2 linked regions of the Mytilus edulis genome follow. The protein of the gene in region 1 purifies or fractionates together with the protein of each later gene. This does not show direct contact. Links are inferred from orthologs where the notes say so. Each region holds a gene or a part of one and is shown on either strand. Other genes may lie near its edges. The genes, in order: E3 ubiquitin-protein ligase RNF13-like and AP-3 complex subunit delta-1-like.

Region 1 (3,944 bases):
TTTTGTAAGTCATTATTATTGGTTGATTTATCTTTTTTTAATGTTACTTTTATTTAGATCATTTAATATAGTTTCATAAATTGATACTTTTAACTTAAAATTATCAAATTACGAAATGCAGCATGAGTGTAGATGTAGGGGAAATAATGCACGTCTATTTTCAATTTTACATGATCCATCGTTTAAACATCTTATTATCGGGGACTTAACATAACTGACCAGTCAACATAATTTTTTCAAATCATTTATGCATATTTATATAATCTTTATTGAAAAACTGGTCATTATCGTGATATATGGATTGCCCACATGTGATTGATTAGCGATAATTACCGAGCCGCGATATATCACGATCATAATGACAATTTCTATTATGTTTATTTCATTGAGGAACCATGTTTTTAAAAATTCTCATAAATTCAAATTGTTCAAAGCAAACTCAAGTTATTGTACGATTTGCAAAGTGAAAGGAGAAAACACGAAAAGGTGAAATGGCCCGCGATCTGGACCAAACTTTTGGACCAAACCAGTGACGGACTCGTCTACTCTTAAAGGATGGTATTATACTTCACTTAATAATGATTTCACGGTCCAGCTTTTAGATATTACCTTTACCTACACACTCAGTCTCTAGGCATGCTGCTGTGTGCTATGTGACCAGCAAGTCCGACCAAGACAACATGCTGCAAAATCCTTATATTTTATGTTTAATCGCAGAAAATATTGTGTATAACAGGTTGTTTTTTTGTTATTTTTAATGTAATTTAAAAGGTTACTTTTATTCATTTGTAATGAATGTTAGAATAAGTTTTAAAGCAAAAGTGTCTCATAAGTCAGTCATGGCTGATACCGATATTTTAACTTCGATGTAAATTTTTATTTGTATTTTTATACTAATATTATGATGTATGATATTGTTCTGTATTGGTATGTGACACTATAATAAAATATTCTGTCTGTCTGTCTGTAAACACGAGCGATGATGATCAAGCAAATATAACTCTTACAAGAATAAATAAAATCTTCTGTACAGAAAAAAAGTACTACACAATCATATTTATGTTATTATTATGAACAAATACTTATCTTTTGTATTATATTTTATGTAATAAACTAAATAAAAAAAAATTAAAAGTGTGGACGATACGTCTCACAATGTGTGGCCGATATGTCCCATGGACGATATGACGGTATGGCCGACACATCCTAGGGCCGTCATGGAAGTATGGCCGTCGCGTCTCGAAAGCGTAAATAATGCCTGCAAACTATATTCAGGATATTCAGTGTAAGACTGGGATGACCTGCTTAAACTACTGGGCCGAATTAAACCAAACTTGGCGTCAATTGTTATTATCTTATACTATTTCATATGTTTTTAACCTTAGTTTACGTGATTTCCAAAACCACAGTTGATACATGATCACGTATGATATATAATTTGGCCGTGTGTTAGGTAGGTGCATCAAAAATGTAAATTTGGCTCTCATATCACTCGCCTATGAGCGACACAGACTCTTGGGAGCCTCTAGTTTAATATTGAATTACTTCCCCTGTTTCATATCACGTGATTGAATCCATTTCTAGATTTTTCAAGATGTAAACATTTGCTACTTTCTGGAATTTTGAATCAAAGACATCAAATGATATAAGAAAATATGTAAGATAAAATTGATAGATGTGATTCTCATGTATGTAACTGCACTTACTGGTTGTATGTTATGACATTTCTCTCTATTCCTTGCCTTGATTTGCCACAGTAACTGCGTAAGGAATGGCTGTTCGTGAATCACTTCACATGTTGATAACTTGAAACAACTCTGACTGAATATTAAACCTATCACTCAGACTTTCCTTTCACCCGAACTTGGTGATCATAATACTGTGGTGAATTGTGTTGGTTTTTTTGTGTGATTTTGTATATTGTAGTCTTAGTATATTGTATAATCAGTGAAGGGGGTCTCATTGGGGGGTTCCGATCCCTGATCCTGCTTACTGTTTTGTCAGATTCCCGTATCCCGCTTACACTGTGTACGTAAGCAATTCTCATTATTTTTGTCATTTCCCGGGTCTCGCTAGACCTCATTTCCCATTTTCACGACACAATAATTTAACTTTCACGTGTCGTGCTTATAAAAAATCAGCAATCCCGCGTCATGCTTAGACCCCAATGAGACCCACAGTGAAGTCCTTTGTTTTTAATTTATTTTAAAGGTAGGGGCATACTTTAATCTTGAGATGTACTTAATTAGTTACAGTTACATCGTCTATATTTATAATATGAAAAAGAAGATGAGGTATGAATGCCAATGAGACAACTGTCCACAAGAGACCAAAATGACACAGATATTAACAACTATAGGTCACCGTACGGCCTTCAACATGAGCAAAGCCCATACCGTATAGTCCGCTATTAAAGGCCCCAATAAGACAATGTAAAACAATTCAAACGAGAAAACTAACGGCCTTAAATATATAAAAAAATGAACGAAAAACAAATATGTAACACATATAAAAACGACAACCACTGAATTACAGGCTCCTGACAAATCGTGCATCTAATATAAGATTGTTTTATTATAACAAAACTGAAGACACCTGCATCATGTGCATTATCATGGGGATTTATGTTTGATTAATCAGGTGTGGCTCGCTTCATGTTCACACTATTATTCCATACACATCCCATCAGGATTTGTTTCAAGTGTTTTTTAATATGCAGAGAGCATGACATTCATCTTGTATACTGGAGGTTCATGTACTGGAGACCTGATGTCACATCATCATCATTTTGCTGCTAATTTAAAGCCCAGGTTTAAGAAAGGTTTTACTGTATCATACGTGCCAACTCCAACTTGCCAACTGTCACTATTTGAAGGGGATTTCCCCCATGAGAGCTCCCAAATGGAAATTTTGAAAGAGCAATTTTGTCTACAATTTTAAACAAAACAGTTAATTTTACAATGGCTATAGGCTCTTAAAAGTATGGAGAAGCAACAAAAAACAACATACAAATACATTTGAAGGCCCCCTTGGGTGTTTCTAATTACTATAAGAGCCATCTTGCACGCAAAACCCCCATGGGTATTTGGAAAAACATTAAGTTGGCAGGTACAAAAAATGTATTTTATATTGATACCAGATATTTCAAGTGATTACCATATCTATATACATGAACTTATCTAACTCAAATGTAGATTGATCTAGTTCTTAAACAATTAAAATTAAATTGTCCAACAGCTAGATCTTTGAAACTAAGACTTTTTCATTTCTCGATATGAATTAGCTTACATAAAGATATACAATGTCCGAAAATGTAAAATTCATTATTCATTTGTTTACAAAGATCTTCCTGCAATTTCAACATGTTCAACCTATAGCTATTTGTCTCGTCTGCACCGAAAGTAGTGGAAAGCAAGCCATAGCCATTGTATTTCCAGCAACAATTACGTTAGCGTCAACAATTGTTATTTTTTTTCTGCAAGTTAGTTTGATAGAAACTATTTGTAATAAATCATTGATATTTAATATAAATTTGCATTACTATCAGTACATACCAGCTTCATACCTGCCAACTTTTACTATTTGCAGGGAATTTCCCCATTAAAGCTCCCAAATGGAAATTTTGAAAGGGCAATTTTGTCCACAATTTTAATCAAAACAGTTAATTTTACGATGGCTATACATGTAGGCTTTAAAATTATGAAGAGGCCAAAATACAATATTGAGATACATCTCAAGGCCCTCTGGTAGGTTTTTTAGGACTGTACATGTACATGATGTATGAGCCATCTGACACTTAAAACCTCCATGGGCATTTTAAAAGTTAGTAGGTACACAGTTCGACAATTTTTGAAATTCCTGCCTCCTAATACAAGATTCATTGATTTGAATTATTAACATATATATACCATTATACAGCAATATTTAAGTTTTAAGTTTTCTGC
Region 2 (3,944 bases), on another chromosome or scaffold:
TTTTTGTCACTTAAGGGACTTGTCATTTTTTATCTGGGAGGGGGGGGGGGGCTGGTAAAAATACAGGGGGGGGGGGTCAAGTTTTTTCTGTATGTGAAAAAGGGGGTTCAAATTTTTTATAAATCCAAAGTGTGTGGGGGGATCAATATTTTTTACACATGGAAATATTAAAGTATTATTACTATGACACATTCCCCATTTCCATTCTCAATTTCATTTCACATACTCAGTCAAGAGACAAAATATCAACGGAAGAACACCATAACAATCAAATCGAAATATATTTTTAACACCATTCATATACAATTAAGTAAGACATCACAATACTTTGGTGATGTAGGAAGCTGCATATGTGCTTCATAATCCCAATAATTCAGTCGTTATACATGTATTTCACTCACTCACTTTGATCACTAAATTAAAAAGCATTACTGCCAAATTTTGTTTTAATCAGCTTATAGTTTGAGATAAATTAAGTAGAAATTAAAACGAAATCTACAGTGATTTGTGCAAAATTTTGTCCAAAAATACAAATCACGCTATATCATGAAAAAATATAGTGTAAAGTAATAAATTCTGCAATAAATGATTAAATATTCATCTAATCTGCATACAATCAGTTGAATATTAATACAAAAGATGATTCTGAGATGATGAAAACAATAAATGCATCTTTTTGTTTTCAAAACAAGATCCCTTTGGGTCCATTTATACCTCTAACTCCCTCAACATTTGTATTTTTTAGGCTAGTAAATCAAAATTTTGAGGTTACTATCATACATAATATTCATATTGTTCAAGCTGAAAGCATGAACTATTCATATAACATTAAGTGACCCAATTGAGCTTTCAATATGGTCTTACATGTGTACATAAAATTTAAGATTAAGCAGTGTTCAAGAGAGGAACATATAACATTCAAAATAACCAACCCCAGCTCCCAGGTAAAAAAATGATAAGTCCCATACAGAATCTGAATACGGATAATTTACGAAATCGGCTTCTGGCAAGACATCATAGTTTCCAAACGAAAATAAAAGTCATCAACTAATTACTATTAATGAATTTAGACATTTATTAACTCCTGTACCTGGCTGGTGTTTTTGTAAGATCTGTTTTCATTGTACAGTGTTAGTTAAAATCGATACCAGATCATATCATAGTACTACCAGGAGGTTGAAACTACCTTTATATTTCAAGGAAACATTTCCGGATAATGACCGGTTTCAATCCAGTGGTTATAATAAATTTCCCACGTCAACATCTCACATGATTTAGATGAGCTCCATTTTGATCATCATCTCGGCAATATTTTGTGAAGCTGGATGACATTGGCTGGTAGTTGACTAACATCAGATAGCCAATGGCGTTAAAGAAAGTGAAAGGAACCCTTGAAAGGGTGTTAGACAAAAATTTGCAGGATTTGGTTCGAGGAATCCGCAATCATAAAGAAAATGAGGTGGGCCGGGAAATAAATCAATATCAATTTGATGCTTGAAATCAAAGTTTGTTTACACATAAGGGGCGTTTTTAACTGCATATAATACTGAACGTTAATAATGTCGATGTTTAGCTAAATAAAATTACCAAGATTTGTTTTCTGTTACTATCCCATAAGCTTTATCGGTGTTTATGGCTCAATATTTCACAACTAGGCACAGTTGATACCCAAGTACTGTTGTGTCTGTTACTGTTTAGTCTTCCTTGCTCAACTTCCAAAGAATATTCAGTAATTTATGTATAAAATTACCTTTCTGTAGAATCATTGTTTACTGTTCAATTGAACTGATACCAAAAGCACAGGAATGCACATACAAAAATGTGAGGGATATACATTTATGTCAATGAGATGTAGCAATCAAAGGATAATAATACAGAGAAAAAAACTCAGAAACAAAGTCTAAATGTAAAATCCATTCACCTGCTGGTATGAGGAAAGTGCTACTGAACAATATGCCAAAGGATAACAATAACAATGGAATTTGTATGCTTGCTTTATTTGTCATGCTTGTGACCTGCAAATCCATGTATGTGTTGTATATATATTATTATGTTATTTAAAGATTTCTCCCATTCCAACACAAGTTCTTGCAACAGGAAGTTTTTCATGGCCATACATGTACATGAATTAAACACACAAACCATCCTGCCATTTGAGCGCCTTTCAGGATAAAATTAAGCTATTATTTGACACCACAAGTGGCTTATTATCTCCCTTATTTCATGAATATAGTACAATGATATCATATGTAATTTTGGAATCAGTCAGTGTAAGATAAGCTTTCATCTGATGCAGTCTGAGACCAGAATTATTCATTTACAAGATGAAACTATTTTTTCCCCCAATTCTCTCATCAAAATTAAATTCCAGATACATGTAGTGGAATTTGGCCAGTATTTATTTCTACTGTTATAGTCTTTTTCATATATATATATATATATATGTAAATATATCTATATAAATTTTTGTACATTTTGTTGTATGTGCATGTGAGTGCTACATTTACGTTTCAATACAAGAAATTGTGGATTCATTAACTAATCTGGTAATTCATAGGTGAACCAAGAATGTTCTATACTGTTGGATCTAACTTTGACAAAAACACAAAAATCAAATATTTAAAAATATTCAATTGTTTCATAATCCATATACATGTAAAATAGCATCCACAATATTAGATAATTCAAAGAGCCCTAAAACATTGATTTTTTTGTTTTATAATTTCAGGCAAAGTACATAGCTGAGTGCATTGATGAAATTAAACAGGAATTGAAACAAGAAAATATTGCTGTCAAGGCAAATGCTGTCAGCAAGCTATCATATGTAAGATACATGGCACGGATGAACATATATGTAGTGGGACATTTTGTCATCATTAATCCACTTATCTGTAATCCTTATTCCTTTGGGCTAGCTTTCAGACTCCATCTATAACTTCACCCTACTGTCAAAGATTGCATAGATGCTTAATTGGTTTAGATGCTACCAACAGTTAAAGCGATCATGGCCACTGTTAACGTTCTCCCCAGGCCATTTTAGCGTCGCAGCACCGAAAACTACGCATTAACAGACTATTTGTTAGATAACTTTGTTAAAAATAGATATCATTTTGATAAAAAGAAACAACTGTGACTAATTCATTGAGTACCATGAACCAATATATTTCATAGACATGATAAAGAAATAGTTTTTGAATTTAAATTTATTGCTATTTGAAGGATACTTTCTCTTCCCTTTTTTTCTTTTGATAAGAACCAGTTTTTTCTTAGATATTTAGTGTAATTGTATCTATACAGGTTGCACTATAATAACCCAATCATTCATTTAGTTGGGTAGGTAGGGTAACTTGAACCGCACATATATTTTTATTTGGCTCAAGAGTTGAAAAATAATTGAGTAACTATAAATGAATATAGAAAACATAAACTGAAAATACTGTCATCATGGTTATAGTTTAATTGTATTCTCAGTAAAGATATCAACAATATAAACACACAGAATAGGATGGAATAGAATATTTTATTCACCAAATGAGAGCCTATAGCATACAAACAATATAATGCATTTTGTAATAAACAATAACATATATAACATAAAGGAAATAGAGAATCACCACGATGCAATAGATGACATTGAAAAAAATACAGTTTTTTTTTTTTTACGTCAAATGTTATGCTATCCAAAATTTCTGGGGAGAACACTGATGGCCAGAAAATACTTTTTTCGATTTGTCCTTTTTTCTTATTTATTGTAGGACAATATATATACACACTGTACAAGAGATTAATATTTGGATTTATAAATGAGAGAGTCACTGATTACATTTATTTGGAAAACAGTAATTTTAACTGTTGGTAACTTTATTACAGCCATTGTAATTGTTAGTAATAAAACCTTTCTCTCTGCCATGGCCATTTACATTTATGATCTTTTCATTATTTGG

Evidence for each region.
Region 2: the proteins of E3 ubiquitin-protein ligase RNF13-like (region 1) and AP-3 complex subunit delta-1-like purify together in Homo sapiens (affinity purification with mass spectrometry; 3 studies listed by BioGRID and IntAct, counting the BioPlex papers as one, with this or other methods). This does not show direct contact. The link is inferred for Mytilus edulis from reciprocal best matches to the Homo sapiens genes RNF13 and AP3D1.

The regions. Positions count from the first base shown.
Region 1 is NC_092346.1:84,994,387-84,998,330, forward strand, and holds the start of E3 ubiquitin-protein ligase RNF13-like, read left to right. Parts: upstream 1-1,543; 5' UTR 1,544-1,657; intron 1,658-3,944. UniProt on the Homo sapiens protein: E3 ubiquitin-protein ligase that regulates cell proliferation. Involved in apoptosis regulation. Mediates ER stress-induced activation of JNK signaling pathway and apoptosis by promoting ERN1 activation and splicing of XBP1 mRNA.
Region 2 is NC_092344.1:17,870,143-17,874,086, reverse strand, and holds the start of AP-3 complex subunit delta-1-like, read left to right. Parts: upstream 1-1,245; 5' UTR 1,246-1,363; coding exon 1,364-1,459; intron 1,460-2,728; coding exon 2,729-2,824; intron 2,825-3,944. UniProt on the Homo sapiens protein: Part of the AP-3 complex, an adaptor-related complex which is not clathrin-associated. The complex is associated with the Golgi region as well as more peripheral structures.